4 linked regions of the Callithrix jacchus genome follow. The protein of the gene in region 4 interacts with the protein of the main gene of each other region in a pairwise test. Links are inferred from orthologs where the notes say so. Each region holds a gene or a part of one and is shown on either strand. Other genes may lie near its edges.

Region 1 (7,654 bases), on a different chromosome or scaffold from region 4:
TGAGCCAAGATCATGCCACTGCACTCCAGCCTGAGAATAGAGCAAGACTCTGTCTCAAAAAAATTAAAAATTTAAATAAATATTGTTAATAATTTTTCTCAGTTGCACTAGCCATATTTCAAGTGCTCAGTAGCCAAATACGACAAGCATCTATGTACTAGGCACCATGGCCTTAGCTCTGCTACAGGAGCTAAGAGACATAGGGAACCTTTTCTTGATGGATCCAGTAGTTGGCAAGAACTGGAGGCTTTCACACCTCCAACAAATTCCATTATGACAGGACTCAAAACTGTGTGGAGACCACTTGAAATATTTCTACCCCCAAAATGATGTTTCTTTGGCTGGGTAACTACAACAGGTTAACACATTGATTCTGAGATCTATCCTCTGTGCTCTGCAATTCAGGTGCATGGAAAGATCAAGGAATTATCTTCTCAGGTAGTTTTCAAAGTTAAAATTACACTATTACTCTTAAATCACTTCTCATTTATAACATGTTGAGGGGTGGGAAGAGACTTGGGGGATTCTTTTTAATTATAAGGATTTCCACCACCAAATAGAAAAATGGAATTTGGAGTGGCAGGTTGAGGAAGTTGACCTTTATCTCTCAGATAATAATGGATATTTTAAATTTTAGAGTGAAAGAATAACATAATAATGTCAATGTTTCAGGAAAACAAATCAGAATCCAGACTGGTATAATAGGGGTCCATAGAGAAGGTGTGGTGTTTCTAGCATCCTTAGATGACAGATATATGCTCTTAGGTCTGCTGAGAATGCTGTCTTCCTCTTCTGAAGCTGAGAAGACATGTGCTCATCCAGTCCAGTCACCTCTCAGTTTCCCAAGTACGGATGGCAGACCGAGTCCCTTTCCCTTTCACCCCTCTCTCAGAGCACCTCTTTGAAAATCCTGCACAAAAGTCAAACTTGTAGAGACAGACAGCAGTCCTGAGGGGCTGAGGAATTATTGTTTAACAGGAACTTGCAAGTTGGGTCCTATGGATGGATGCTGGTGAAAGTAGCACAACAATGTGAAGGATTGGTGGGCCTTTCCCCTGATTAACTCCTCTCCACATTTAGGAGAGTCCTTTTTCCAGGCCAGAATGGTTTAGGTACCCTTGCTGTACCCTTTCATGATCCTCATGCTTTCTTTACCAGCCTCTCATCAAAACTGTCATCTACAACTAATTATATGGTACATTAGTTTGCTAGGGTTACCGTTAGAAAACACTACAGACTGGGTGCCTTATACAAACTGGGTGTGATTTCCTCACAGTGCTGGAGGCTAGAAGTCTAAGATCAAGGTGTTGGTAGGTTTGGTTTCTCCAGAGGCTTTTTTTTTTTTTTGGCTTTCAGATAGCCTTTCTTTTATGCAAACACAACCTGGGTGTTTGTGTCCAATTTCCTCTTCTTTTATTGGTTTTTTTGTTTGTTTGTTTGTTTTGAGATGGAGTCTTGCTCTGTTGCCCATACTGGAGTGCAGCTGCAGGATCTCGACTCACTGCAGCCTCGCCTCCTGGGTTCCCGTGATTCTCCTAAGTCTCCCTAGTAGCTGGGATTACAGGTGCACGCCACCACGCCTGGCTAATTTTTTTGTATTTTTAGTAGACAGGGTTTCACCATGTTGGCCAGGGTGGTCTGGAACTCCTGACCAGCCTGGTGATCCGCCCACCTCGGCCTCCCAAAGTGCTGGGATCACAGGTGTAAGCAACTACACCCAGCCCCAAATTTCCTCTTCTTATGAGGACGTCAGTCAGACCGGATTAGGGCTCACCCTAAGAGTCGAGTTTTAACTTAATCACATCTTTAAAGGCCCTATCTCCAAATACACTCACATTCCGAGGTACTAGAAGTTGGGACTCCAACGTATGAATTTTAGGGGATGCAATGTGGCTTATGATTAATTTCACTGTTTGCACTGTTAAACCTTATAACAGGGACTTTGTTTTGTTCATATTTCGGGAACTTAACAGTTGCTGCTCCGTCTCCTGAGCACGCTCTACCTCCAACTCTTCATACAACAGGTTTTTCTCAACTTTCAAGCCTTAGCACCATCATCTGACAAGGGCCGTTCCGGGCCACCTTGTCTAGAGTAGCCCTAAACTTTACTCTATCATGTCACTGTTCTTTTTCACAGCATTCATCACTTATTTATGTCCAGAATGCCAGCTTCCGGAAAAGTGGGGATACGCTTTTACACGGTATTATGTCCCAGTATCTCACACACAGTCACAAGTGAATGAGATTCTATAGCTACTTAGCACATTAACATTTTATTTATTCCTGGGAAAACCTGAAGGGCTTTTAACATCCCAATCGGTTTCTGAATTTCATCTCTGATATGGAGTAACTGTGTGAATTCCAGCAAGTCCCTCACCCGCGGTCTCGAATCCCTAACAACACGATGACGATACCTTCTTCCCGCTCTTATGAAGATTAAGTGAACTAATTACTCTTAAGTGCCCAGCTCAAGAATCTGACATAGAGCCCATGCTTGTCAGCTGAGATGCTACTAGCTTTCGGATGTTCCACAGCATCGACCTGGGAATGGCTTTCGAAAATGTCTTTAGGTGGTACCCAGAGCATTAAACAACGGGGTATGAACGCTACCCTATTTTCAGTGTTTAATTCTTTTTTGCTCTGTTGTTTTGTTTTTGAGACAGGATGTCGCTCTGTAGCCCACACTGGAGTCCAGTGGCGGGATTTCAGCTCACTGCAGCCTCGACCTCCCGAGTTCCGGCAATTCTCCAGCCTCAGCCTCCCAAGTAGCGGGGACCACAGGTCCAAGACACCACACCCAGTTATTTGTTTATTTATGGTTGGGTGGGATGGGGTCTCCCTGTGTTGCCCAGGCTGGTCTTTTCAATTCTTTACATCAAAACCAGGCCTTCCTCTCATGCGCGTGTGTTTGGCACCCATCCCTGCCTCCATCTCTTGCTGCTTCTTGCAATTCTTCTGTTTAGCGGAGATCCCTCAGCCAGAGTCGCACCCGCAGGGGCCGGCGGGTGGAAGGTGGCTCTGCGCGGGGACCGGAAGCCAGACTGCCTGGGGCGGCCCCGGCCGCGTTCCCCCGGGACTCCGGGCGGCTGTGAGGACGGGAGCAACTCGTGGGGTCCTACTGAAAACGACGTGGCCCCTCCCGCCACTCACGTTATGAAGACAAACACGTAGTTAACCCTGCCCGGGCGGGTGGCAGGCATCGCGGGAACCTATGGTGCCGGCGAGGACTACTGAGTCTGGAGGGGGTGCCTGAGGAAGGGGGTCCCCGAGGGAGGATAGGCCTTCGAGGTGGCCAGGCCCACGTCCCGGGAGGGCGGCCCACAGCTCGGGGCAGCAAGGCTCTGGGGGGCCTCCTCTGACTTGGGCCTGTTTAGTATCTGCCGCGCTCATCCCCGCGCGACTGCCCCACGCGCTTACCCGAGCCTTTCAGTCGGCAGAACGCCCACAGAGGGGCCGCACCCGCGCGCGAGACACCGGGCGGGGAGGCAGGGCGGGGTGGGGAGGAGCGTCGCACGTTACACACGCGACGCAGCTACGCACGCGGCTCCGCGCATGTGCGGTGAGGATCGCGGCCGAGTGCGGCGCTGGGCGGGAGCCACCATGGCGGCCGAGCGCAAGTCAAAGTTGTCCAAGAATCTGCTACGCATGAAGGTGCGGGGACGCTGAGCCACGCCGGGCGGTAGGGGCACCCGGTCCTTCCGACTTGACCTGGGCCGAGGCGGCGGGCGGACGGGGGACACCAGAGAGGCCCCAAAGGCTTCCAGCTCTTGTGCTCATTCATTCACTTAGCGCCTGCTCTGCACTGTTTACTGGGAACCAGGTTGTGAATTAGGCTGACTCTCTTGGGAGGCCCGCGGGCGGATCGGAGCTTATATACACATAAGCAGCAGTCAAGGTACAGTTCACCAAGTTCAGTGAGGGTAGAAGCGCCGGGGACCCTGGGAACTCACTGAACTCGCGGAGTCGTGGTCCCTTTAGGTTACTGGGAGGGTGGGAGGCACAGCGTCTTAAAGTACGAGAAACTGAGTTCAGAAGTCCCAGAGGCAAGAAGGAAAAAGAAAAGCATGGAGATTTCCAGGAACTAGAGATAATTCCGTATGTTTGGAAGGCAAATACTAAGAAATGAGGTTGCAGAGTAGGCCATGGTCACAACGTGCAGGGAATTTTAGGCCTGATTAAGGATATTTTCCTTTATTTTGTGAGCAATGGAAAGCTCAAAAATAGCAAATATTTACATTTTTGGGGTACTCTATAATGTTTTAAGTGTTTTGCATATATTAACCTATGCAGTTCACAAAATGACACTTTGAGGTTACTACAGGCAGTAACTCTATTTTTGCAACTAAGGCAACCGAAACGGAAGTAAGTAACTTACCCAAAGTTACACAGCTAATAAGTAGTGCAGACGGGATGGAACTCAGTCTAGCTCCAGAACCCTGGCTCTTTATTACTACTCTAATGCCTCTCACTGAGCACTACTAATAGAGAGTAGCAAACTGTTACATGTCATGTTTAAAGAGGTGGAATTTCCAAAAAAAAGGGAAGGAAGCTATTCATAGTGTTTTGAAAGATTGGAGAGAGAGCCCATTCGCAGTGACTCATGTCTGTAATACCAGCACTTTGGGAGGCTGAGGTAGGCAAATCGCTTAAGCCCAGGAGTTTGATACCAGCCTGGGTAACGTGGTGAAACCCCATCTCTACAAAAAATACAAAATATTAACCAGGCGTGGTGGCATGCACCTGTAGTCCCAGCTACTTGGGAGGCTGAGGTAGGAGGATTGCTTGAGCCTGGGAGATCGAGGCTACAGTGAGCTGAGATGGTGCCACTGCACTCCAGCCTGGGTCACAGAGGGAGACCCTGTCTCAAAACGAGAAAGATTAGAGAGTAAACAATGAATGGGTGAATGAGGATAAATTGTAGCATAACTTATAGTTTGTCAAGCACTTTCATGGATAATAGCAAAATTTGAATCTTTACTGAACAGAGTTTGCTTTTGATTTTAGGATTTGTAATAACATTAATTTCAGAGAAGTGGAGTGAATTGGCCAAGCAGATACTGAAAAGATTAGCAATTGTTTTAGCTCTTGGAATAAGCCAGATGATGTACTACGTGACTCAGGCTCAAACTAAAGATCTGAGTTGCAACTAAAAAGGAGGACATTAACTTAAAATAAGTGTCCACCCCCACCAAGTGGGGAGACCCAACTGAACATTGGAAGCAAAGGAGAGAGAAGAAGATCACCCAAGTTCTCTATTTGTTTTAGAAGCTTTTGGTCATCGATAAGAAAGAACTTACTGGCAAGATAGCAGGAGACACTACCTGTACTAACTGAACAGAGTATACTGTGAAAAGGCATGGAGCAGCTGCACTTGAGTGCCATAGCCAGAGCTAAGTCCTATATAGCATGAGTCTCCAACCTCTGGGCCATGGACCAGTACCAGTCCAGGCCTGTTAGGACTGAGCCACACAGCAGGAGGTGAGTGGCAGGCAGCCAAGCAAGTGAGGGAAGCTTCATCTGCATTTACAGTTGCTCTCCACAGCTTGCATTACCACCTGAGCTCTGCCTCCTGTCAGATCAGTGGCAGCATTAGATTCTCCTAGGAACACAAACCCTACTGTGAACTGCACATACGAGCCACCTACCTTGCACGCTACTTAGGAGAACCTAATGCCTGATGGTCTATCACTGTCTCCCATCACCCCCAGATGGGACTGTCCCAGTTGCAGGAAAACCAGCTCAGGGCTTCTACTGATTCTACATTATGGTGAGTTGTATAATTATTTCGTTACATATTACAATATTAGAAACAAAGTGCACAATAAATGTAATGCACTTGAATCATCCCTAAACCATTTGTCCCCCCCTCCCCACCCCACCCATGGAAAAATTGTCTTCCAGGAAACCAATCCCTGGTGCCAAAAAGGTTGGGAACCACTTTTTATGGCAAGTATGAGGGTTGAGGATTTAATCCTGACTCACTTGAATGCTTCTGACTTGGTAAGCCATTGAGGGGTGATCCTGATGGGAAGCAGAAAAAGGAGGATGTGGATAGAAGGTCTGTCAGTATGGAATGGTTGTAGAGAGGGTGCTTATTTGTGATTTTAGCACTATTAGACTCTTAGAACAGGGCTTGGCAAACTTTCTGCAAAGGACCATATAATAAATATTTTGGGCTTATGAGCCAGGCAATCTCTGTTACAACTACTCAGCTCTGCCATTGTTGTTCAGACCAAATGACCATGGCTGTGTACCAGTAAAACTTTATCGACAACGACAGACATCCAGCCTGAGGACTGTATTGTGCTGATGTCTGCTCTGAGTCCTCACTAGTTTTAGAATGTGTTCTGAAATGCTCTAGAGTAAGAGAATTGAACTTCTACGTAAGTCTGGAGGTGCTTGATTTATATTCACAGTGAGTTCTATCCTTTCCCTATGTACAGAACATAAGTTTATGGCTCTTTTGTATACCCAAAGAATAGGTACCTGACTAAATGGGAGAAAAAAGGGCAGTTGGGCAATACTGATGAGTTTTACCATGAGGAATATTAATGATTAAATGAGGCATCTGCGTTTCAAGAAAACCATCCCAGAAAGAGAGTCTGGAAAAGTAAGACAAGTCTAGGTTCATTTACATTCAGAGAACCTTGACTGGGTGAGCTCTTTTGTGTCCCAGGGGTGCAGCCTAAGTACCAATGGTACAAGATGAACGAGAGTCATGGTCTATTCAGAACCGTAGTCTTGGGAGACACCAAAGCAGCACAATGCTGGATAATAATCCAGTGTTGATAAGGCTGTCTTGGAAAGGTGCTCCTTTATAGGAGCAGGCCTAGGAAGAGCCAATCGGGGAAGTCTTACTAGAGGACACATGCTGTGGGCCTACAAGAGTAAATATTGTGTGAGGCAAAAAATGGAAACATGTTGTTAAGTAGCAAAGGCAAAAGGACGTGGTAGTATAATGTGTACATTCCAGAAACTGCAGTTCTTTCCTAGAATGAGGATATAGACACAGGTGAAATGGGTAAGGACTACAAGACAGTAGTCTACAAACTTGTTTTCTTTTCTTATTTAAAATAGTAATGTATTCACAGGGAGTTGCAAAAAGTGTTCAGGGGTATCTTGGGCATCCTTCATGCCACCTCCCCCAGCAACAACATTTTATATCACTAGAGGACAATAAAGAGCCAGGACATTGACAGTGAGCTTACTCAGATTTCACCATTTTGCATGCACTCACTTTGTGCAGACAGTTGCTGGGTCATATGGCTAAGTGTATGTTTAGTTTGCTAAGAAACTGCCAAGGTGTTTTCCATAGTGGCTGTACCATTGACTTTTCCAGCAGCCATGTATGAGTGATCAGTTTCTTCACATTCTCATCAGCACTTGATGTTATCACAGGCATGTGTTACTTGACAGGGATACATTCTGTAAAATGCAGTGTTAGGGGATTTCGTCATTGTGAGAGCATCATAGAGTTGATGTACACAAACCTGGATGGGATAGCCTGCCACATACCTAGGCTGTATGGCACAGCCTGTTGTTCGTGGGCAACAAACCTGTACAGCATGCTGCTATACTGAATACTGTAGGCTGTTGTAACACGGTGGTAAGTATTTGTATATCTAAACATATCTAGACATAGAAAAGGTACAGT
Region 2 (7,563 bases), on a different chromosome or scaffold from region 4:
CTGCACTCCAGCCTGGGTGACGAGAACAAGACTCTATCTCAAAAAAAAAAAAAATTGTCATCCTAGTACAGGGGCCATGCTGTTCTCTGTATCATTCCAATTTTGGTATACGTGCGGCCGAAGTGATCACTCGACTACCTGTGCCAACATAATGAAACCCCGTCTCTACTAAAAACACAAAAATAAATAAATAGCTGGGCATGGTGGTGCAGGCCTGTAATCCCAGCTACTCAGGAAGGTGAGGCAGGAAAATCGCTTGAACCTGGGAGGCGGAGGTTGTGGAGGGCCCAGATCGCGCCCCTGCACTCCAGCCTGACCAACAAAGTGAAACTGTCTCAAAAAACAAGAAGAAAAAAAATAGAACATTGCAGGTAAAGTCTTGTTTGACTCCTCTGCTCAGTGCCATCACTCCTTTCTACCCTTTCCTGAAGGAATAACCATCAGGATATGGTGTACGGATCCTTGCAGTCAATTAAAAAATAAAATACATATATCCAATAACCAACATGCTTTTGTTCTGTGTATTTGTAAAAATATTACCTAAATGGCATTATGCTATAAATATAATGTGTGTGTATATATTCCCTCTAGGCAAAATTACATACAGTGTTAGGCTTTACATATTCTTTTTTTTTTTTTTTGAGACAGTTTTGCTCTTGTTGTCCAAACTGGAGTGCAGTGGTGCAATCTCAGCCCATTGCAACCTCCGCCTCCCAGGTTCAAGCCATTCTCCTGCCTCAGCCTCCCAAGTAGCTGGGATTACAGGCGCACGCCACCACGCCTGGCTAATTTTTTGTATTTTTAGTAGAAACGGGGTTTCACCATGTTAGCCAGGCTAGTCTCGAACTCCTGACCTCAGGTGACCTGCCCACCTCAGCCTCCCAAAGTGCTGGGATTACAGGCGTGAGCCACCGCACCTGGTCTATGTATTAATTTTTGAAGACAGGGTCTTGGTCTGTCTCCCAGGCTGGAATGCAACGGTGCGGTCATTGCTCACTGCAGCCTGGAACTTCTGGGTTTGAGGGATCTCCTACCTCAGGCTCCTAGAGTGCTGAGATTACAGGTGACCTAGACTTTATAAAGATATGATCACTTCTTTTCTCAACATTATCCTTTTGACATCTATCTAACCTGTTCAAACAGATGACCATCTTTCCAATGTTCTACAGCATTAAATGCTGTGCACATGCATGAGGCATGAGTTTCCCTTCAGGGCCTCTCCCTAGAAACGGAAATCCAGGGTCACAAGCAGCGGGCATTCCCGTTTTGCTGTTAGATTCTGCTCTCCCACCAGCAGCGTCTGAGAGGTGGCTGGCGTTCCCGAGGGTCCCTGGACTTGCGTTTCCAGCTGGCCGGTTCTCGCGCGCCTTGTGCGCACTTTGCGTCACTGGGGTTCCCAGCGGACTCGCCTGCAAGTGTGCTCGTGACTGCTGGGCGGACCCCTGGGTCCCTGGGGCTCTTTCCCCACGGGGAACTCTTTTCTGAGGTGCTTGACTGCGCTGATTTGGGCCTTTATCTGTCTGCATGTCAGCAGGGGCGCCCAGGAAGGACCCGTGGGTCGGGGTCCCTCTAGCTCAACCTGGCCTAGGCTCTTCACAGCTTCAGCTCCACAGGGGGCCGGGAGCTTGGGCACTTCCTCATTCCGCCCCCGAGGGTAACTACGGCTGGAAGACCCGCCCACACCGCAAACGAAATTTCATCGTTTTGTTTGTAGGATGCGGCCGCCATGGCTGCCGACCTATGAAACGCTCCGAGAAGGGGTGCTATGGCCGGGCGCGGTGACTGCATCTGCAATCCCAGCGCCTTGGGACGCCGAAGAGGGCGGATCCCTTGAGGCCAGACTGGGAGACACAGTGAGATCCTGTGTCTCAATTAAGACAAACAAAATCAGCCCGGATGTAGCGCGCGCTTGTAGTCCCAGCTACTCGGAGGCCGAGACGGGAAGACTGCGTGAGCCTGGCAGTTCCAGACCAGCCTGGGCCATACAGCGGGACTCCGTCTCAAAAGAAATAAGCACCCGTGTTTCTGGGTGGGCGCATCCCTCTCTGATGCCTCGCTCTCCAACTGTCCCTGGGCCTGGGGGCGTGAAGGCTAAGCTCTGGGGAGACAAAGGCGCGGGCTGACCCTGGGGGACCGGCCTAGGACCCATTCATTCATTCATTCGTTCTGTCACCTACCGGTCCTGCGCCGGCCTATGCCCCAAAGACCCCAAGTACCCTCACTCCACGGGGCGCAGACAACGACAGGCTGGCCAGCGCCTGGAAGCCGCGTGCCTGACCGCGTCTGCCCGAGCGAATCCCGCCTCCCGCCGGGGAGGCCGCAGGGCCGCGCCTGTCCCGCCGCGCCCAGCATCTCCCGGCCAGGAGCGCGCCGCCTCACCAGTGGCGCATGCGTGCCCGGGAGCCCGCCCTGAGTGTTGGCGCACATGGGGCCCGCGGGTCGGCGTGCGTGCGCGCTCCCGCCTCGTCCTCCCACGCGGTCCACCGCGCCTACCGCCCCACCCTGCGCTCCACCGAGCCGGGTTGCGTGCGTGCGCGCACGCGCGGTCCACGTGGGCGGGCACCGGACCGTTGCTCCGCCCCTTGTCAGCCCCGCCCCGCGCCTGCCCCGCCCCTGCCGCGCGCCGGCGTCGGCTGCGTCTCAGGCGTTTGAATTGCGCTTCCGCCATCTTTCCAGCCTCAGTCGGACGGGCGCGGAGACGCTTCTGGAAGGTAACGACGCGGCTGGCCGGGCAGGGCCGGGGTGGGGGGGACAGGGGCCGTGGCGGCGGGACAGGGGCCGCGGCCGGGGTCAGGGCCCGGGCTGGTGGCCGGCCCCGGGGCAGCGAGCGGCTGTGAGTAGGTGGGTGGCGCGGGCCGGGCCGGGCCGGGGGAAGAAACGGGCGTGGGGTCGGCGCCCGCCCCCGCGAATCCCGGTTCCATCCCGCGCTCCCATCCCGCTCCCGGTCCCAGTCTCGTCTCCATCCCGGCCCCCCCGTCCGTCGTTCCTTGGGTCCCGCTGCCCCGGATGCCGGCCCCGCCCGCCGCCTTCCCGCTCCCAGGCCCGGCCGCCATGGCGCCGCGGGCGGGAGGCCTTTGTGGGGCGGGCACGTGGGGCGCGGGGGGCGCGGGAGCGGGGCCGCCATGGGCTGCGGGGCCGCGCGAGCGCTCGTCTCCGTCCTCTGCCTCCGCAGGAACGCCGCGATGGCTGCGCAGGGAGAGCCCCAGGTCCAGTTTAAAGTAGGTAACCCTGCGGGGCGGGCGGCGGCCGGGCCGGCCCGCGTGCGCCTCGCGGTCCCTCCTCCCGGGCCCACGATGGCTGTTAGCCGGGCCCCGCGTCCGCGTTCTTGGCGTGGCGGACTCTGGGATCCGGAGAGGTGAAGTGTTCTGGGTTTACTTCCAAAATGTGTTCTCCAACAGCTTGTATTGGTTGGTGACGGTGGTACCGGAAAAACGACCTTCGTGAAACGTCATCTGACTGGTGAATTTGAGAAGAAGTATGTAGGTATGTGCGGGAGCACCTTGTTCGCGGACACGGGTGGGAAACGGGTCAATGCGCCCACTCACTGGCATCGCTTCCGTCGCAGCCACCTTGGGTGTTGAGGTTCATCCCCTGGTGTTCCACACTAACAGAGGACCTATTAAGTTCAATGTGTGGGACACGGCCGGCCAGGAGAAATTCGGCGGACTGAGAGATGGCTACTATATCCAAGGTAAGCATCCGTGACTTGCTGAACCGTTGCTGAGAGCTTTTGTGTACTGCATCCTTCAAGGTTATAGAAAATCAGGCCGGTTCCGGCAAACAGTGCTTAATACTGTTAGGGGAACTGTGTCATTTTTGGGTTAAAAAACGTGAGCTTCGGGGAGCTGACCACCATTTTGGTGGCAGAGGAGAACATTTTATGCAAGTTGTGTTATTTGCATGCTGTGTCATGCTAGGCATGGTTTAGAAGAAACTGTGACTTACACTGGGTACATGTCATAGTTTAAAACAATCACAGACAGGCTGTTAGAGCAGTTCAGTATATGAAAACAGGCTCAGGTATGAATTTAGACGTAGTGATCAATGATTGTTTGTACTCCATTAAAAAACACCAGGGAAGATAGGGATCTTAGCAAGTGTTATGCAAGACTAGGTGATTTCTTGTTACATTGTTTGTACTAAGTTGCGGAGAGTATTTTTCTCAAATAGATTGATTTTTAAAATTGCAAGGAAGACGTTCATTATACCAAAAAGAGGAGTAAAGGAAATACTCATCTCTCCTGGATCCTCACTTTGCTGATAACAAATTATTTGGAATCATTCCATGCCTTTTGTTTTCCTTTAGTATGTACAAATAAACACAAGAATTTCCCCCCAAAAATCTTTTAACCAAAAAGTTGTGGATTCTTGCTTTATCAACTATGCCATAGCTGGCCCTGCAGGTGAATATATAGACTTTATTTGGGTTTGTTATTATTTTTTGAAACAGGGTCTCTATGTGGCCCAGCCCAGAGTGCAGTGGTGTGATCTCAGTTCACTGCAGCTTCTGCCTCCTGAGCCAAGCTGTCCTCCCACTTCAGCCTCCTGAGTAGTTGGGACTACAGGCACAGGCCACTATACCTGACCAATTTTTGTATTTTATTTATTTTTATTTTTATTTTTTGTAGAGATGGGGATTCATCATGTTGCCCATGCTGATCTCGAACTCATGAGCTCAGGTGATCACCCACCTCGGCCTCTCAAAGTGCTGGGATTACAGGCATGAGCCACATCGCTTGGCCTGTCTGGATTTAAGACAGGAATATTTCCTGGTATAGTCAGCCATGCCATTGAAAGACCTTCTGAAGAAGGTGTTTGCAGGCCCCTTACCCTCAGAATATGGCAGCTCGGTTCTGCAGAATCTCACTTATCATTAATCTACCCGAGATACTTTTTGGGATGAGGGTACTGTTAATGATGAAGTGTATCAGGGAGGTTTGACGGGGTCAGCTCATCTTGCTTAGGAAGAATTGTGAATTAACATTTTTAGAAATTGCGAATTGACATTTTTAGAATTGGAAGTGAAGGGAGAAAGCTAGGAGACTCGGTGAGGTCTAAGACCAGATGAATCCTAGACTGGTTCTTGGCATTCTTCATGTGTGTAGTAAACTAAGTGTACTAACTACCACAAATGTTCCTTTCAGCCCAGTGTGCCATCATAATGTTCGATGTAACATCCAGAGTTACTTACAAGAACGTGCCTAACTGGCATAGAGATCTGGTGCGAGTGTGTGAGAACATCCCCATCGTGTTATGTGGCAACAAAGTGGACATTAAGGACAGGAAAGTGAAGGCAAAATCCATTGTCTTCCACCGAAAGAAGAATCTTCAGGTGTGTGAAAATTAAAACTTCCTGAGTTATTTCTCTTAGAGGAGATGATACGTAAGACCATGAAATTGACCAGTCTATATTATATATGGAAATAATTTTATTTTTATGCTATTTTTATTGTTTTTAAAGACTGATAGAGATGGGGTTTCACTGTTGTCAGGGTTGGTCAACTGAAGTGTGTGTGTCTCTTGTTAAGACAGGGTCTTGCCCTGTTGCCAAGGCAGGAGTGCAGTGGCATGAACATAGCTCACTGCAGCCTTGAACTCCTGGCTCAGGCAGTCCTCCCACAGCCTTCCGAGTAGCTAGGACCACGAGCACTCACCACCACGCCCACCTAATTTATTATTTGTAGAGATGGGGTCTTGCTCTTGTCCAGGCCTGATCTTGTACTCCGGGCCTCAGGCAATCCTGCTACCTCATCCCCCCCAAAGTGCTGGGATTACAGGCATGAGCTACCATGCCCCACCAAGAATCTTTTTCTTATTTTGGAATGTTCTGGGAAAATCAACTTTAAAAACTAATTTTTACTTTTTTAAACAGTACTACGACATTTCTGCCAAAAGTAACTACAACTTTGAAAAGCCCTTCCTCTGGCTTGCTAGGAAGCTCATTGGAGACCCTAATTTGGAATTTGTTGCCATGCCTGCTCTTGCCCCACCGGAGGTTGTCATGGACCCAGCTTTGGCAGCGCAATATGAGCACGACTTAGAGGTATTGTGGCCACTTTGCTGTCCAGGCTGTTGTGTTTGGCTTGTGTATTCCTGGCAGTTTTGAGCTGGAGTGTTAACAGTGTTCCTCTCTTCATCTAGGTTGCTCAAACAACTGCTCTCCCGGATGAGGATGATGACCTGTGAGAATGAAGCAGGAGCCCAGCGTCAGAAGTCTAGTTTTATAGGCAGCTGTCCTGTGATGTCAGCGGTGCAGCGTGTGTGCCACCTCATTATTATCTAGCTAAGCGGAACATGTGCTTCATCTGTGGGATGCTGAAGGAGATGAGTGGGCTTCGGAGTGAATGGCAGTTTAAAATACACCTTCATTGTTTGGACTTGCATATTTAGCTGTTCGGAACGCAGTTGATTCCTTGAGTTTCAGATATGAGACTGCTGCAGTCACATCACAATATTCAGTGGTGAAATCTTGTTTGTTACTGTCATTCCCATTCCTTTTCGTTTAGAATCAGAATAAAGTTGTATTTCAAATATCTAAGCAAGTGAACTCATCCCTTGTTTAAAAATAGCATTTTGAAGCCACTAAAATAGAGATATTTATGCCATGTTAATGTTTGGATTGCCTTGCTGTCCTTAATTTGAAATCTGTTAGGTTAATTTCTTCCTATGTCTACTTTTTATTTTTGTACATTTGAGCTGTGTCTCACAAACTCAGCATGACAGGTCGACAGACTGTTTGGTTAGGAGAGTTAAACGGTGTAAAGACTGTGCAGGTGAAGTAAAGCGATGTCTGTTCCACCTTCATTTAGGGTAGGTAGGGCCCTCTTGGGAGGAACCTGCTCAAGATTTGTGACCTGTCGACAAAAATGTGGTTTGTACATACCAAATAGATATTTTAAGGGTAATACTTGGTTTTGTTTTGTGGCAAAAGTAATGTTTTGATAACTTCAAACAGGATGGAATGTCTGGATGGCGGGAGCTTGGGAATTCTTGGTGTTAAAAAGTATAAATTTTGCACTTTCTGTTTGAATGTCAGATGCTTAGTGTTAACTTGATACTCAAGGAAAATGGTCCGTGTTTACCCAGTTTTCAGGTACTCCCGGGCTTTCAAGATGTCTTAACATTCAGTTCTTAAGCAGTACACACACTATACTTTTTGGGGTTTTTTTTTTTGCCCTGAGGATTTGTAGGGCAGCGCAGCGGAGCAGGGCATGGATGGAATACTAGGAACGTGGCACAGTGGAGCAGGGGTGGGGTGGGGCGGGGCGGGGTGGGGGGGGCGTCTCAGTGGCAGAGAACAGCTGTGAAACTTTTTTATCAGACTAAACATTTAATTTATCTTGTATATTTTCCACATTTAAAATGAATTAGGTCTATCCTGATTAGGAGTTCGATCCCATCAATGCTATTCTTGTAGAAGTTAGGAATCTTAAAAATAAGAGCTATTTTTTCCTCAGTTACTACTACAGTCCAGTTAACCAAAGTTTTCTTTAGATGTCTGATTATCTGGAGATGATTACTTTCCTACTTTAAAAGGTGTAGAAAGGATCACTTAAATATATG
Region 3 (6,978 bases), about 1.4 Mb from region 4:
GACCTCCCAAAGTGCTGAGATTACAGCCGTGAGCCACCGCGTCCGGCCTAAATTTCTTGCTTCTGAGGTGGGGAAGGAGAATAATCTCCATCGGAGGCCACTCCCTCTCCTGGGCCTTTCCCTTTTCCTGCGGGGGAAGCGCCGCGTTTCCCGTACTAGGTGGATGAGTTGATCTTGTTCGTGTATCTTCAGTGGGGCGTTTCAGAACCGCTTTTGCTGCTTTTTGGTCCCCCGGAGCGGGAAGGCAGGTTAGGTGAGAAAACGAACCATCTGGAGCGACAGGACTGGGGAATCGAGTATCAGTCGACTTTCGCCTCCTAAAGCGAGCACTTGGATGATCTTTTTGATTCCGAGGGCTTTGGATCCTGTGACTTCACTAAAAAGCCCACTTAATCTCCGGGGTTGGTCACAATGAAGAATGGCCTTTTTTGAGACATTCTCGTTCTGTGGGTCTGGGTTGAGAGAACGGAGGCCACAGTCTGAACACTGCTTGAATTCAAACCTGTGCCGGTTGGTAGTTCTGCGACTTCGGGCAAGTTAGTCTATTTTGACTCCTGGGGATAAGGCCTTTTTTATAGAATGGATGGAAGTACTGTGCAGTGTTTTAGGGCAACAGTCACTGACATGAATTGGGCTTGCAGAAAGTGGCTGTCCACCGAGACCTTGGTTTTCCCAATGGTTAAGGCTTTTGGGACTCTGTAGAAACTTGCATTTTCTTCTGTTTTCTTTTATTATGAGAACACTTGGCTGATATGCCAGCTTGCTCTTGTCTCATGGGGGAATTGTATGACCTTTTTTGCAACATGGTCCAATTTTTTTCTTTTGAGAGAGTCTCGCCCTGTTGCCCAGGCTGGAGTGCAATGGCGTGATCTCAGCTCCCTGCAACCTCTGCCTCCCAGGTTCATATGCGTCTCCTGCTTCAGCTTCCTCAGTCTGGGATTACAGACGTCCGCCACCATGCTTGGCTAATTTTTTGTATTTTTACGGATTTCACCATGTTGGTTAGGCTGGTCTTGAACTCCTCACCTCAAGTGATCTACCCACCTCGGCCTCCTAAAGTGCTGGAATTACAGGTGTGAACAACCTTGCCTGGCCAACGTGGTCCTGTTTACCCATCAGTGCTTGAGTTAAGGAATTTAGCTTTAATTCAACTCTTTCAGAGTGTTGGCTGAAGATAATGTGATTGTATTTTTCTTTTGCAGATTATACTCAACAAGCAACCCAAAGGTGAGTGCTATTTTTGCGTTTCCAAAGTTTGTAGAGGCCGACGGTGGTCAAGGCCTCTTTTTCTGATCACGCTGGTTTTACTTTTTTCCAGCTATGGGGCCTACCCCACCCAGCCGGGACAGGGCTATTCCCAGCAGAGCAGTCAGCCCTATGGACAGCAGAGTTACAGCGGTTACGGCCAGTCCACAGATACTTCAGGCTATGGCCAGGGCAGCTATGGTTCTTCTTACGGCCAGACCCAGAACAGTGAGTCTCTCTCAGCGAGTCATCTTTTCCTCTACTTTCTGAATGTTGTTTTTTTTCCTTTTTGAGACGAAGTCTCGCTGTGTCACCCAGGCTGGAGTGCAGCGGCGTGGTTTCTGCTCACTGCAACTTCTGCCTTCCTGGTTGAGGTGATTCTCGTTGAGCCCACCCTCCTGAGTAGCTGGGATTACAGGCGTGTGCTACCATACCTGGCTAATTTTTTTTTTTTTTTTGGTATCTTTAGTAAAGATAGGGTTTTGCCATGCTGGCCAGGCTGGTCTCTAACACTTGACGTCATGATCCACCTGCCTCAGCCTCCCAAAGTGATGGGATTACAGGTGTGAGCCACCGCATCCGGCTCTGAATACTGCTTTTGTTAAACCTGAGCAGCATGGAAATGTTGAAACTGTTCCATATTTCCTTTCCCTGAACCACTGTATAATTCTCAAAACTCTTGGGAGTCTGAGTTCTTTACAGGGCATTGTGGCAAACCTACAGTACTGAGGAAGGAGGATCCCTTGAGCCCCAGGAGTTTGGGGCTGCAGTGAGCTATGATTGTGCTTGAGAGTAGCCACTGCATTCTAGCCTGGGCAGTGTATTGAGGCCCTGTCTCAAAAACAAAAAAAGACAAAAATGTTTATTGGTTTGTAATTGTTTCCATTTATTTTATTTGGCTTTAAATTTTTTTGGTCCTCCTGTTTTTCATCTCAGCATGAAAGAGAGCATATTTTCTAAAGGAAGAAGAATGTTAGGCTGATTCTTTTTTTTTTTGAGATGGAGTTTCGCCGTTGTTACCCAGACTGGAGTGCAATGGCACGATCTTTGCTCACCGCAACCTCCGCCTTCTGGGTTAAAGCAATTCTCCTGCTTCAGCCTCCCGAGTAGCTGGGACTACAGGCATGCACCACCATGCCCAGCTAATTTTTGTGTTTTTAGTAGAGACGGGGTTTCACCTTGTTGACCAGGATGGTCTTGATCTCTTGACCTCGTGATCCACCCGCCTCGGCCTCCCAAAGTGCTGGGATTATAGGCGTGAGCCACCGTTCCTGGCAGGCTGATTCTTAAATTGAGAAAATGGTTTTGCTTGAAAATGTATAAAATCATATGATACCTAAGAAGGTGGGATTTGTCCCAAGGTCCTGAAGCATAACCAACGAATGTGGTTGTCCTGCAGAAACTGCACACATAGCTGCACATTGCAGTGCGGTTGCAAGGGATCCTTGGGCCTGGGATTAGAGGGTGTTTCTGGAGATGGTGTTGGGATTGGTGGGGTGAAATTGGAACTGTTCTAAAGAGTTGGTAGAAGTTGGAGCATTAACTTTAGGTTTTAGAAGGAGGGTGGTAACTTTTTGCCTGTGAGTTGCTAGATAACTAACGGCTTCTGAGAGGCTGACTTTTTGAGTATGGGTGAGTGTTAGGTTGTATATGTTTTCTTTAACCCATTCCATACATTTTCTCTTTGCTGTGGCTTTTGTGACTCCCTTTTTTTATCCTCATAGCAGGCTATGGCACTCAGTCAGCTCCCCAGGGATATGGCTCAACTGGTGGCTATGGCAGTAGCCAGAGCTCCCAATCATCTTACGGGCAGCAGTCCTCCTACCCTGGCTATGGTCAGCAGCCAGCTCCCAGCAGCACCTCGGGAAGGTACAGTGGTGTTGATGTCAGGGGAAGGCTTGAAGAGGGGTGAATTGATGAGGAATGATAAAGGGACCCAGGAGTAGGAGCAGCTTTGAGGTATAATTGGGGTGGGGGAACCTATGTTGGGTATAGAGAATGGAATACACTAAAAACAAAATTTGGGTATGCTGGGATTATGATTTTGTTTTTCATTTGTTTTCTTTAGTTACGGGAGCAGTTCTCAGAGCAGCAGCTATGGGCAGCCCCCGAGTGGCGGCTACGGCCAGCAATCTGGCTATGGTGGACAGCAGCAAGGCTACGGACAGCAGCAAAGCTCCTATAATCCGCCTCAGGGCTATGGACAGCAGAACCAGTACAACAGCAGCAGCAGCAGCAGCAGCGGTGGGGGTGGAGGTGGGGGTGGAGGTGAGATGTCCTCAGCTTTGCCAGCAGTTCCATTTTCTATAAGGATTTGTATTCTCCTGTTTGACTCTTAGCTTAAAGGGATTGCTTTCTTGTTCCCTATATGTCTTTTTAATTTATTTTGTCCTTTATTGCTTGGCACTTGTTGAACCTTTTTGTGTTACTTTACTTTTTTGTTTGTTTTTTTCCTTAAAACCTATAGCACCTGGTATTTCCAGGAGGTCTCCTATCCAAATGCTAACTAGGCCCGACCCTGCTTAGCTTCTGAGATCAGACGAGATTGGGTGCATTCAGGGTGGTATGGCCGTAGACTTTTTAAAACCATTCTTTCTTTTCTCACAGGTAGCTATGGCCAAGATCAGTCCTCCATGAGTAGTGGCAGCGGCGGCGGCAGTGGTGGTTATGGCAATCAAGACCAGAGTGGTGGAGGCAGTGGTGGCTATGGACAGCAAGACCGTGGAGGCCGTGGCAGGGGCGGTGGTGGTGGTGGTGGTGGTGGTTACAACCGCAACAGTGGTGGCTATGAACCCAGAGGTCGTGGAGGTGGCCGTGGAGGCAGAGGCGGCATGGGGTAGGTGTCTTATGAGCCAGGGAGTATCTTTGGTGGGGAGTGTGGAGGATTGCATGAATTTCCCTGAAGCCAGTCCCTAGTGCATGGTTTAGTATTCTTGTTGTCTAGGGATCTGTGAGGGCTTTGATTTGGGGTCAGTGACTGTTTTTACATCCCCATTTTATTTTTGTGAGAACTTGGGAGCTGAAACTCCCATCCATACCACTAAATAGAGATTTTGAGTATTGATACTTGTTTCCAAAGAGAAAGAAATCATACATAGATATGTATGGATTGGAGTCATTGATATCCTAGGCAAGAAACACGGAAGTGAAGACTTCTTTCTCTGCAAGGGAAACCGATGATCCCACTCCTGGGAAATAGTAGGGAAACTTGGTATGTGTATGCCCATGTGTCCTCTAGGGAGTTGGTAATGATTAACCTGACTTCAGCTTCTAGGAATTGGCTACTCTTCCTGTTTTCTGTAGTCATTTGAATCCACGAGCTTGATTTGCGCTAATTTGACAGTGATTTTGTGTGTGACTTGGTTTGTGGGGCCATCCGACTGAAGTGTACAGACCTTTTGGGCAAAAATATGCTTGACGGTGGTCTCCCAACTATTTGTTCCACTGTCTGCCTTCCCCTGGTTACTTAAAAATCATCAATTTGTCCAACTGGACATTCTTTCCTTCCTGCTGAAGTTGATTTGAGTAAAACCTTAGATTTGATGTTAAAACAGCCGTCAAATCTGTTGGTAAATATGATTTGAAGGACCTTACCCTGTCTCCCTTGAAAAAGGGGAGGAGTGTCAGTGTTACTGTTTTTGGAAAAAGTAGATTTTTAAAACAAGTTGGGATATGGTAAGTATGCAGAGGTGGGTGGGGGCAATCTCAAAAACGTACAAAAATAAGGAAAACTCTGTTGTGTGCGTGTGTTTAATGCAAAACTTTAAAAAGAAAAACAACTGTTATGTGACTGTTAACTTGCTCTGCATTTTATGTGCCACAGGTATGAAAGGTGACATTGCAAAATACTCCGCTCTTCTCGCAGTGTAGAAGGGGTGACCCCGGGGGTTGGGGGAGATCAAAAACAGCTCAGTAGTTAGGACAGGGCTTAGCTAAGTTTGTCTTGCTTTAAGGGGAAATTGCTTTTGGTTTTGACTTTTTATGGAATGGGGTTGGGTCTGCTTGCTGCTTTCAAAGCAAAAACCACAAAAATGTGTTCAGGGCTACCCCAGCCTGGTGTGAAATGTCTTCTGGGTAAATTGGGGTAGGGTTTTTAAACCAACTACTTGGTTGTCAACCACTTGCGACAAGAGGAAAAAAAACATCTGCTCCATCGGAAGAACGACCGAGGAAAATGGGTCATTTTTTTTCCAGAGGAAATAGATATATAACCTTTTAAAGCAAAATCTTTATAAACTGTGTCTGAGAAATTGCACACGTGTGTGTGACACGCTCAAAGGTCAGACAAGGGGTGGTCAGGAAGGGATGTATTTTAGTAGTCACTTGTATCTTTTTCCAAAAACACCTACCCATGTTTGGGGAATGTTAAACAAAATCAAAAAAACACCCTTTTGTAGCCGTTGGAAGCTTCATGTCCTTTCTTCTAACTTGTCTTCTCCAGCGGAAGTGACCGTGGTGGCTTCAATAAATTTGGTGGTAAGTGAACAGAGTTTCCAAAATTCCCAACTCCCAGCAATGCTTTGTCTGATTGTTCATTTGCAGATGTCTTAGCGTGTTAATTTAAGTGCAAAGGTATTGAGGTGTCCAGAACCACCTCCAAAAAGGGGTAGGGTAGAATGCCACCTGTTGCCTGGTGTGTGCTAACCTGGAGCAGGCAGGGGTAAGACTCATTAGTCATCTTTTACCAAATGGGTTTGCCCCCCGGTTAATAAGAGGGGTCTAGTTAGGCCTGGGACGGGTGTTGTCACACCTGGCACTTAGTGACCACCATCATGAGAAACTGGAGAGAGTGTGCTGGAACACGTGGTGCCAACTTGGCTTTAGGACCCTTTTGATCATTGTGTCCAAGGCTTGCGTGTGTGGGAGTGTGTGTGGGAGACAACCTCCAAATGTTTTAATTCTGGAAGAGGGATGTGACATTGCCCTGCCCTGAGGATGGTGAAGTTGGTATACATGTATAAAGTACGAAATGGTGTCAATGATTGCAATTCTCTGTATGTGGATTTAACTCAGATGGGCAAATAGAAACTAGCTCTGGGAAGGAACATGTGCACTACTTCAAGAAAGTTTGGAAGCATGTGTGGCTCATGGGAAATAACCAGGTCTTAAACAGCACAAACTGAATTCATGGACCAGGAAGGTCTTAAAACAGCACACACTGAATTCATGGAAAAATGACAAATTTGAGAAGTCTCCCAGTAAGCTGGAACTTTTCTGGTTTGGTTAACTAACAAAAGGTTTCTTGATTTGTCTCAACATTTAAAGCCAAAGGCTTGGGTTCATGACACTTATGTCATTGCGTGTGGGTACAATATTTATATATGGCGAATTCAGATAAACATTGGTCAAAGATGGTCTCTGGAAAAACAAAATAGAGGCTGCATTACGGAAATAAGATTTCTGGTCTGTTCCCTGGGACATGCTTAAAAAATACAATAGCTATTATGTGTGGTTTTTATTTTCATGTGGTTTTGGGGAAACAACATGGTTTTAAGAATGGTTTCTAAAGATGAAATTAAAAATTGTTCCACAAGGGATAAGTGTCTTTGGTGGTAAAGTTGGGAGAAACTGGATCGCATGGCTCGTGGTGAGCCCATCTCTCTTGGGTGAGAGAACCGGGCCAAGCTGAGTTGGTTTGTTCACTTTAATGGGTCTCCTTTCCCCTGCTGTCTGTGCTGAGGACATTTCCCAGCCTGAGCTGGGGGAGGCAGCATTTTCTGAAGTGTGGAGTTG
Region 4 (6,752 bases):
CCAGTGTTTGGCCGGCTGTGCTTAGAATGAGCACTGGGATTGGGATCAGCTGGACAGGCCATGGGGGAAATCTTTCACTACTCACTAGTGGCGTGACTCCAGCAAGGCACTCATTGAGCCTTCGTTTTCTTTTTTTGGAGAATGGGGAGACAACAGTGTGCCAAGTGCCTGACTCTGGGCTGAGCCCTTCCATACATGCGGGGCTCTCACCCTCCTCCTTTTTCCTTTTCTTTTTTAATTTTCTTTTTTATTTTTATTTTTGAGATGGAGTCTTGATTTGTTGCCCAGGCTGGAGGGCAGTGGCACAATCTCGGCTCACTGCAACCTCCACCTCCCCGGCTCAAGTGACTCTCCTGCCTCGGCCTCCTTGTAGCTGGGATTACAGGTGCCCGCCACCACAACCAGCTAATTTTTTGTATTTTTATTAGAGATGGGGGTTTCACCATTTTGGCCAGGCTGGTCTTGAACTCCTGACCTCAGGTGATCTACCTGCCTTGGCCTCCCAAAGTGCTGGGATTATGAGCATGAGCCACTAAGCCTCGCTTTTTAAAAAATATACATTTTTATTTATATATTCATATATTTTTAGAGATGAGTCTCTCACTGTTGCCCAAGCTGGAATGCAGTGGGGTGTGATCATGGCTCACTGCACCCTTGACCTCCTGGGTTGAGGCCATCCTTCTGCCTTGGCTTCCCAAAGTACTGGAATGACAGGCATGAGTGACCACACCTGGACTCTTAATTTTTTTTTTTTTTTTTTGAGATGGAGTTTTGCTCTTGTTGCCCAGGCTGGAGTGCAATGGCGCAGTCTCAGCTCACTGCAACCTCTGCCTCCTGAGTTTAAGTGATTAGGAGAATCACTGCCTCAGTCTCCCGAGTAGCTGGGATTACAGACACGCACCGCCACACCTGGCTAATTTTGTATTTTTAGTGGAGATGGGGTTTCTCCATGTTGACCTGACCTCAGGTGATCCGCCCATCTCAGCCTCCCAAAGTGCTGGGATTATAGGCGCAACCCACCACACTGGGCCCTATATATATTTTTTAAGACAGGGTGTTTCAGGCTGGGCGCAGTGGCTCATGCCTGTAATCCCAGAACTTTTGGAGGCTGAGGAGGGCAGATCACAAGGTCAGAAGATCGAGACCAGCCTGGCCAAGATGATGAAACCCTGTCTCTACTAAAAATACAAAAATTAGCTGGGCGTGGTGGTACATGCCTCTCGGGAGGCTGAGGCAGGAAAATCGCTTGATCCCGGGAGGTAGAGGTTGCAGTAAGCCAACATCATACCACTGCATTCTAGCCTGTACTATAGAGGAAGACTCCATCTCAAAAACAAAAAACAAAAAACAAAAGAAAACAAAAAACAGGGTCTTGCTCTATTGCCAAAGCTGGTCTTAAACTCCTAGCCTCAAGCCATCCTCCCACCTTACCCTCCCAGAGCCCTGGAATCACAGGCATGAGCTACCATGCTAGGCCAATCTTTGCTTAATTTAAGGTTATTTTCCTCTTTCTCTTATCACCTGGTCTGTTATATCACCGCAGCTCTGTTTTCATTCAATATCCTGTCTTCACTTTCATTTCCTGGGTGTTAAGGAACTCACCCATCACCCAAATCTGGGAAAACAAAGACTAAATTCAATTCTGGCTCAGGCAAGGGAGAAACACAAGCAGAAGTTCAGCTTCTTGTGTTTTTATTTTTGTTTTGAGACACAGTCTCGTTCTGTCACTGAGGCTGGAGTGCAGTGGCTCAATCTTGGCTCACTGCAACCTCCGCCTCCTGAGTTCAAGCGATTCTCCTACCTCAGCCTCCCAAGTAGCTGGGAGTACAGGCACTTGCCACCACACCTGGCTAATTTTTGTATTTTTAGTAGAGAAGGGATTTCACCATGTTAGCCAGGCTGGTCTCGAACTCCTGACCTCAGGTGATCTGCCTGCCTCGGCCTCCCAAAGTGCTGGTGCTCGGACTACAGGCATGAGCTTGGCCTCATTATGTCTTCTGTTTCAGTATATCCATATTTTGAAATACGTATTATTTTATTATAATTTGTTTTTGAGACAGGGTCTCGCTCTGTCACCAGGCACTGTGGCAAGTGTCTTTTAAACATTATCTTCATTTGATCCTCTCCCCAACTCTAGGAAGAAGATACAATTATTATCGTTCTTGTTTTACAGAATTGGAAACCAAGGCACAGAGAGGTGAAGGGACTCACCCAACGTCACACGGAAAGTGGTGGGTCCGAGGTTTGAACTGAGGGCATCTGGCTCCAGACCCTGAACTCTCCAACCGTCTGCCACCCTCCTCTGAGGTGAGGAAGATTACATTACTGGGGACCATGTTTCAGGATATTAAGGGGTTTTCCAAGACGTTTCTCAGGAAAAAAAAGCGGGGGCTGTGGCTCACACCTGTAATCCCAGGACTTTGGGAGGCCGAGGTGGGTGAGGTTGTCTTGAGGTTTCAGAAGTTTGAGACCGGCCTGGCCAACATACCCCATCTCTACTAAAAATACAAAAATTGGCCAGGTGTGGTGGCAGGTGCCTGTAATCCAGCTACTCGGGAGGCTGATGCAGGAGAATCGCTTGAATCCCGGGAGGAGGAGGTTGCAGTGAGCTGAGACTGCGCCACTGCACTACAGTCTGGGTGACAGACTTCGTCTCAAAAAAAAAGAAGAAGAAGAAGAAAAACAAAATGTTGAGTGTGACTGGATGGAAGCTGCCAACTTGCCCCGGCACAGGGTGTGCTCCCCTTCCTTCCTCACGTCCTGCGTCTCAGCAAGAATTCTGGTGCTGGGGTTAGCTGTGTGGCCATCACCCCAGGCCCAGGTGAAGCCCTCAATCAGATGAGGCCATGATCCCAAGGAGTGTTTAAGCCCAGATCCTGCCTCTTCCCTGCTCCCTGCCGAGAGGCGGGACCTCCATATGGAAAATATCCAACTGGGTGAGCCTGGAAGGGAGGAGGCAGAGTGGGGCTGGACTCAGGGACCAACTCTTCCCCTCTCGTGACTGTGTTTACTGGCTGGATTCCGGCAAGGAGCCAGATTGCATCAGACAGGGCCTGATGGGCTGGAGCCAGACTGGTCTGAGAAGGAGACACAGCCTTATAAGCTGAGGGAGTGGACTGGGAGTGGAGAGGCACAGGCGCAGGAAAGCAGAGACAGATAAAGCATTAAGAGAAGAGAGGCAGGGAAGACAAGCCAGGCACGATGGCCAGCTTCCCTCCAGCAGCCAGTGCCCCCCAGCAGCCCCCAGCCCCAGAGGACGAGGACCCCAGCCTGGATGAATCTGACCTCTACAGCCTGGCCCATTCCTACCTGGGTAAGGCCCACTTGGCCATCTCCACGGTCCTTCCTCCTCTCCCGAAATCAGGACCCCTCCGTGGACTTCCCACGTCCCTTTGCCCTTCCTCTCTTCCTCTCTTTCTTCTTTCTCTCTCTCCTCACTCTATCTCCTCACTCTTTCTTTCTTTTTTTTGAGAGTCTCACTCTGTCAGCCAGGCTGGAGTGCAGTGATGTGATCACAACTCACTGCAGCCTCGAACTCCTGGGCTCATGTGATCCTCCTGCTTCAATCTCCCAAGTACCTGGAACTTCAGGTGTGCACCACCTGTAGTGGGGAGATGGGGTCTCACTGTGTTGCCCAGGCTGATCTCGAACTGCCGGGCTCAAGCAATTCTCCTGCCTTGGCCTCCCAAAGCGCTGAGATTACAGGAGTGAGTCACCACGCCCAGCCCACTCACCCTTTTCTAGCAAGCTGTTCCTTCGATCCTCAGGTCACCCCTCTCTAGTCCCTCATCCCCGGAGTGCTGTCTTACTCAGCCTGGGACCTCACACATATCCGGGGAAGCAACATCCCACATTTCACAGAGGGGAAGCTTCCCCCTGCTCGCTCCATCCCCGCAACCCTGAATCCCTGCCTCTCTTCCGAGGCCTCTCATCCTGCCTCTGCCCATTTCACCTCTAAATCCTGCCTTGGTGACAGGAGGCGGAGGCCGGAAAGGTCGCTCCAAGAGAGAAGCTGCTGCCAACACCAACCGCCCCAGCCCTGGCGGGCACGAGAGGAAGCTGGTGACCAAGCTGCAGAATTCAGAGAGGAAGAAGCGAGGGGCACGGCGCTGAGACAGAGCTGGAGGTAAGGAGTCCGGAGACCCAGAGAGCCCAAGGCGGTGCCTCTGCCATAAAGGACAGGCCAGAATGTGTGTGGTTGGGTGTGAAGGAGGGATCAGACAGATTGTTGTCTCAATGCAGAATAAAATGAGACGATGCAGAATAAAATGTTTGGCTGTGAGTTTCCTAGTGGCCAGAGCAAAGGGGGAACACAGAACCTTTCCAATTGAAGGGAAATTTAATTTACAGAGACAGAAACTGAGGCCAAAGAGGGTGGGTCCTTCCCTGAAGTCACACATTGAGTGGAAGAGGCAGAATTAGAACCCAGGTCTCTGTCCCTTTCACCACTTGCTTTTCCTCACCCCCCAGATGAGGCCAGACCACGGACACTACACCCAGCAACGGAGACGGGACTGTGGAGGAAGGAGGACCCGGGACAGGATCCAGGCCAGCTTGCCACACCCCACACCCCTAGGACTTACCCTGCTGACTGAGTCTCTAAGGGGCTACCAGGAAAGCACCTCCAACCCCAGAAAAAGTGCAAGATGGGGATTGAGATGCAAGGAAGGGAGGGGCAGAGCCAGGAAGATACCCCAGAAAAGAAAGCTACAGAAGAAACTGGGGCTTCTCCAGGGTGGCAGCAACAATAAATAGATGAGCACAGCAGCCACAGCTTTGGTGTGTGTTTTGCTCGGGCACGTGCGAGCCTGCCTGTACCTGCACATGCATGAACGCGGGAGAGCCTCTGGGATGTGTGTCTGTATTTGGTGTATCTGGGGCAGGGAGTGTTCTTGCTTTTGGAGGAGTCTATGCTGTGACTGTGGCTTTTGGTTTGTTTACGCGTGCATATATTTTAGTGCATACATTTCTGTGGGCTCCTACATAGTGGAAAAGAATTTCTTCTGCTTTTTTGTGATACTGCCCATGAACATGGCTCTCCCCAGCACCTGTCTGTTTTTGTTGATTACGTCCTGTTCATAGAAAACCATCTTTTTCAATCTGAAAAAAAAAAAAGACAAAAGAAAAAAATAATAATTAAAACAAACAAACAAAAAAAAAAAAACACTTTTTGAGGCCAGGCATGGTGGCTCATGCCTGTAATCCCAGCACTTTAGGAGGCCGAGGAGGGCAGATCCTCTGAGGTCAGGAGTTTGAGACCAGCCTGGCCAACGTGGAGAAACCCTGTCTCTACTAAAAATACAAAATTAGCTGGGTGGTGTAGTGGTGCGTGCCTGTAATCCCAGATAGTCAGGAGGCTGAGGCAGGGGAATTACTTGAACCCTGGAGGTGGAGGTTGTGGTGAGCTGGGATTACGCCATTGCACTCTAGCCTGGGCAACAAGAGTGAACTCTGTCTCAAAATAATAATAATAATAATAATATCCTGCTGAACACTCTAGAGAGAAAGAAAAAATAATAAACAGAAGACCACTTTTGAAGGGAATGCTACTTATGGATGCCATCTATAAGATGGAGAAAACTGAGATTTAAAATATTAAAGGCCAGGAGCAGTGGCTCATGCCTGTAATCACCGCACTTTAGGAGGCTGAGGTGGGAGGATCACTTGAGCCCAGGAGTTCGAGACCAGCGTGGGCATCATAGTGAGACCCCCATCTCTATCAATTTTTTTTTTTAAAGAGAGAGTCTCGCTCTGTTGCTCAGGCCAGAGTGTAGTGGTGCCATCTTGGCTTACTGCAACCTCTGCCTCCTGGGTTCAAGCAATTCTTGTGCCTCAGCCCCCTGAGTAGCTGGGACTACAGGTGAGCACCACCACACCCAGCTAATTTTTGTATTTTTAGTAGAGATGGGGTTTCACCATGTTGTCCCGGCTGGCCTCAAACTGTCCCCCTCAGCCTCCAAGCCTTTGGGAGGCCAAGGAGGGAGGATTGCTTGAGGCCAGCCGGGGCAATATAGCAAGACCCTGTTTCTACAAAAAATTTAAAAATTAGCGAAGCGTGGTGGCTCACTCCTGTAGTCCTAGCTGCTAAGAGGCTGAAGTGGGAGGATCCCTTGAACCCAGGAGTTGGCAGGTGCAGTGATGCATGATGGTGCCACTGCACTCCAGCATGAGCAACAGAGTGAAAACATGTCTTGAAAAAGAGAGAGAGGGAAGAAGGAAGGAAGGAAGGAAGAAAGAAAGAAAAGAGAGCAAGAAGGAAGGGAGGGAGGGACAGAGGCAGGGAGGGAGGGAGGGAACTATTAAGGGATTTGGCCTAGCTCACTCAGGGCTCCTATTCAAGGCTCTTACTGTTTTCAACTTCTCTTCTAGTTCTGGGAGGTGAGATGGGGAGGGAGATTCTTATCCAGTGCTATGTCTCAGGACCAGCGTTGAAGAAGAATATGGGGCAAACAAGAAGCACGATTGGAGCTGAGATCATGTATTGATTGAGATACAGGCTTGGGTTGCTGTTATGAAGAATCAAACAAAACAAGATAGAAAGTTATTCCTCTCTTACTCAGCCCCAAGTCCTCCTGGGCTCAAATAGCAGCTCCATTGTATTAAGGATTCCAGCTACTTTTACGAATTGTTTTGCCACATTCAAAACATGGCTTCCACTTTGAGGCCTAAAATAGCGGCTCCAGTACCTGCCATCGAATCTGCATCTCAGCCTGTGGAAAGAGAGTGTGAAAGAGACAGAGGAGGCCACATCT

The links.
Region 1: the proteins of NUPR1 (region 4) and MPHOSPH6 interact in a two-hybrid assay, tested with the Homo sapiens proteins (2 studies listed by BioGRID and IntAct). The link is inferred for Callithrix jacchus from reciprocal best matches to the Homo sapiens genes NUPR1 and MPHOSPH6.
Region 2: the proteins of NUPR1 (region 4) and RAN interact in a two-hybrid assay, tested with the Homo sapiens proteins (2 studies listed by BioGRID and IntAct). The link is inferred for Callithrix jacchus from reciprocal best matches to the Homo sapiens genes NUPR1 and RAN.
Region 3: the proteins of NUPR1 (region 4) and FUS interact in a two-hybrid assay, tested with the Homo sapiens proteins (2 studies listed by BioGRID and IntAct). The link is inferred for Callithrix jacchus from reciprocal best matches to the Homo sapiens genes NUPR1 and FUS.

The regions. Positions count from the first base shown.
Region 1 is NC_133521.1:39,718,348-39,726,001, reverse strand, and holds the start of MPHOSPH6 (M-phase phosphoprotein 6), read left to right. Parts: upstream 1-3,561; 5' UTR 3,562-3,600; coding exon 3,601-3,651; exon of another isoform or gene 3,652-3,895; intron 3,896-5,004; exon of another isoform or gene 5,005-5,764; coding exon of another isoform or gene 5,765-5,767; intron 5,768-7,654. UniProt on the Homo sapiens protein: RNA-binding protein that associates with the RNA exosome complex. Involved in the 3'-processing of the 7S pre-RNA to the mature 5.8S rRNA and play a role in recruiting the RNA exosome complex to pre-rRNA; this function may include C1D.
Region 2 is NC_133510.1:134,086,125-134,093,687, forward strand, and holds RAN (GTP-binding nuclear protein Ran), read left to right. Parts: upstream 1-2,680; 5' UTR 2,681-2,711; intron 2,712-3,172; 5' UTR 3,173-3,182; coding exon 3,183-3,218; intron 3,219-3,398; coding exon 3,399-3,483; intron 3,484-3,565; coding exon 3,566-3,691; intron 3,692-5,144; coding exon 5,145-5,332; intron 5,333-5,872; coding exon 5,873-6,043; intron 6,044-6,141; coding exon 6,142-6,186; 3' UTR 6,187-6,535; downstream 6,536-7,563. UniProt on the Homo sapiens protein: GTPase involved in nucleocytoplasmic transport, participating both to the import and the export from the nucleus of proteins and RNAs. Switches between a cytoplasmic GDP- and a nuclear GTP-bound state by nucleotide exchange and GTP hydrolysis.
Region 3 is NC_133513.1:30,696,090-30,703,067, forward strand, and holds part of FUS (RNA-binding protein FUS), read left to right. Parts: intron 1-1,202; coding exon 1,203-1,227; intron 1,228-1,318; coding exon 1,319-1,473; intron 1,474-2,969; coding exon 2,970-3,114; intron 3,115-3,313; coding exon 3,314-3,513; intron 3,514-3,703; exon of another isoform or gene 3,704-3,822; intron 3,823-3,852; coding exon 3,853-4,081; intron 4,082-5,686; coding exon 5,687-5,721; intron 5,722-6,978. UniProt on the Homo sapiens protein: DNA/RNA-binding protein that plays a role in various cellular processes such as transcription regulation, RNA splicing, RNA transport, DNA repair and damage response. Binds to ssRNA containing the consensus sequence 5'-AGGUAA-3'.
Region 4 is NC_133513.1:29,262,719-29,269,470, reverse strand, and holds NUPR1 (nuclear protein 1), read left to right. Parts: upstream 1-3,124; 5' UTR 3,125-3,201; coding exon 3,202-3,313; intron 3,314-3,976; coding exon 3,977-4,113; 3' UTR 4,114-4,126; intron 4,127-4,470; 3' UTR 4,471-4,767; downstream 4,768-6,752. UniProt on the Homo sapiens protein: Transcription regulator that converts stress signals into a program of gene expression that empowers cells with resistance to the stress induced by a change in their microenvironment.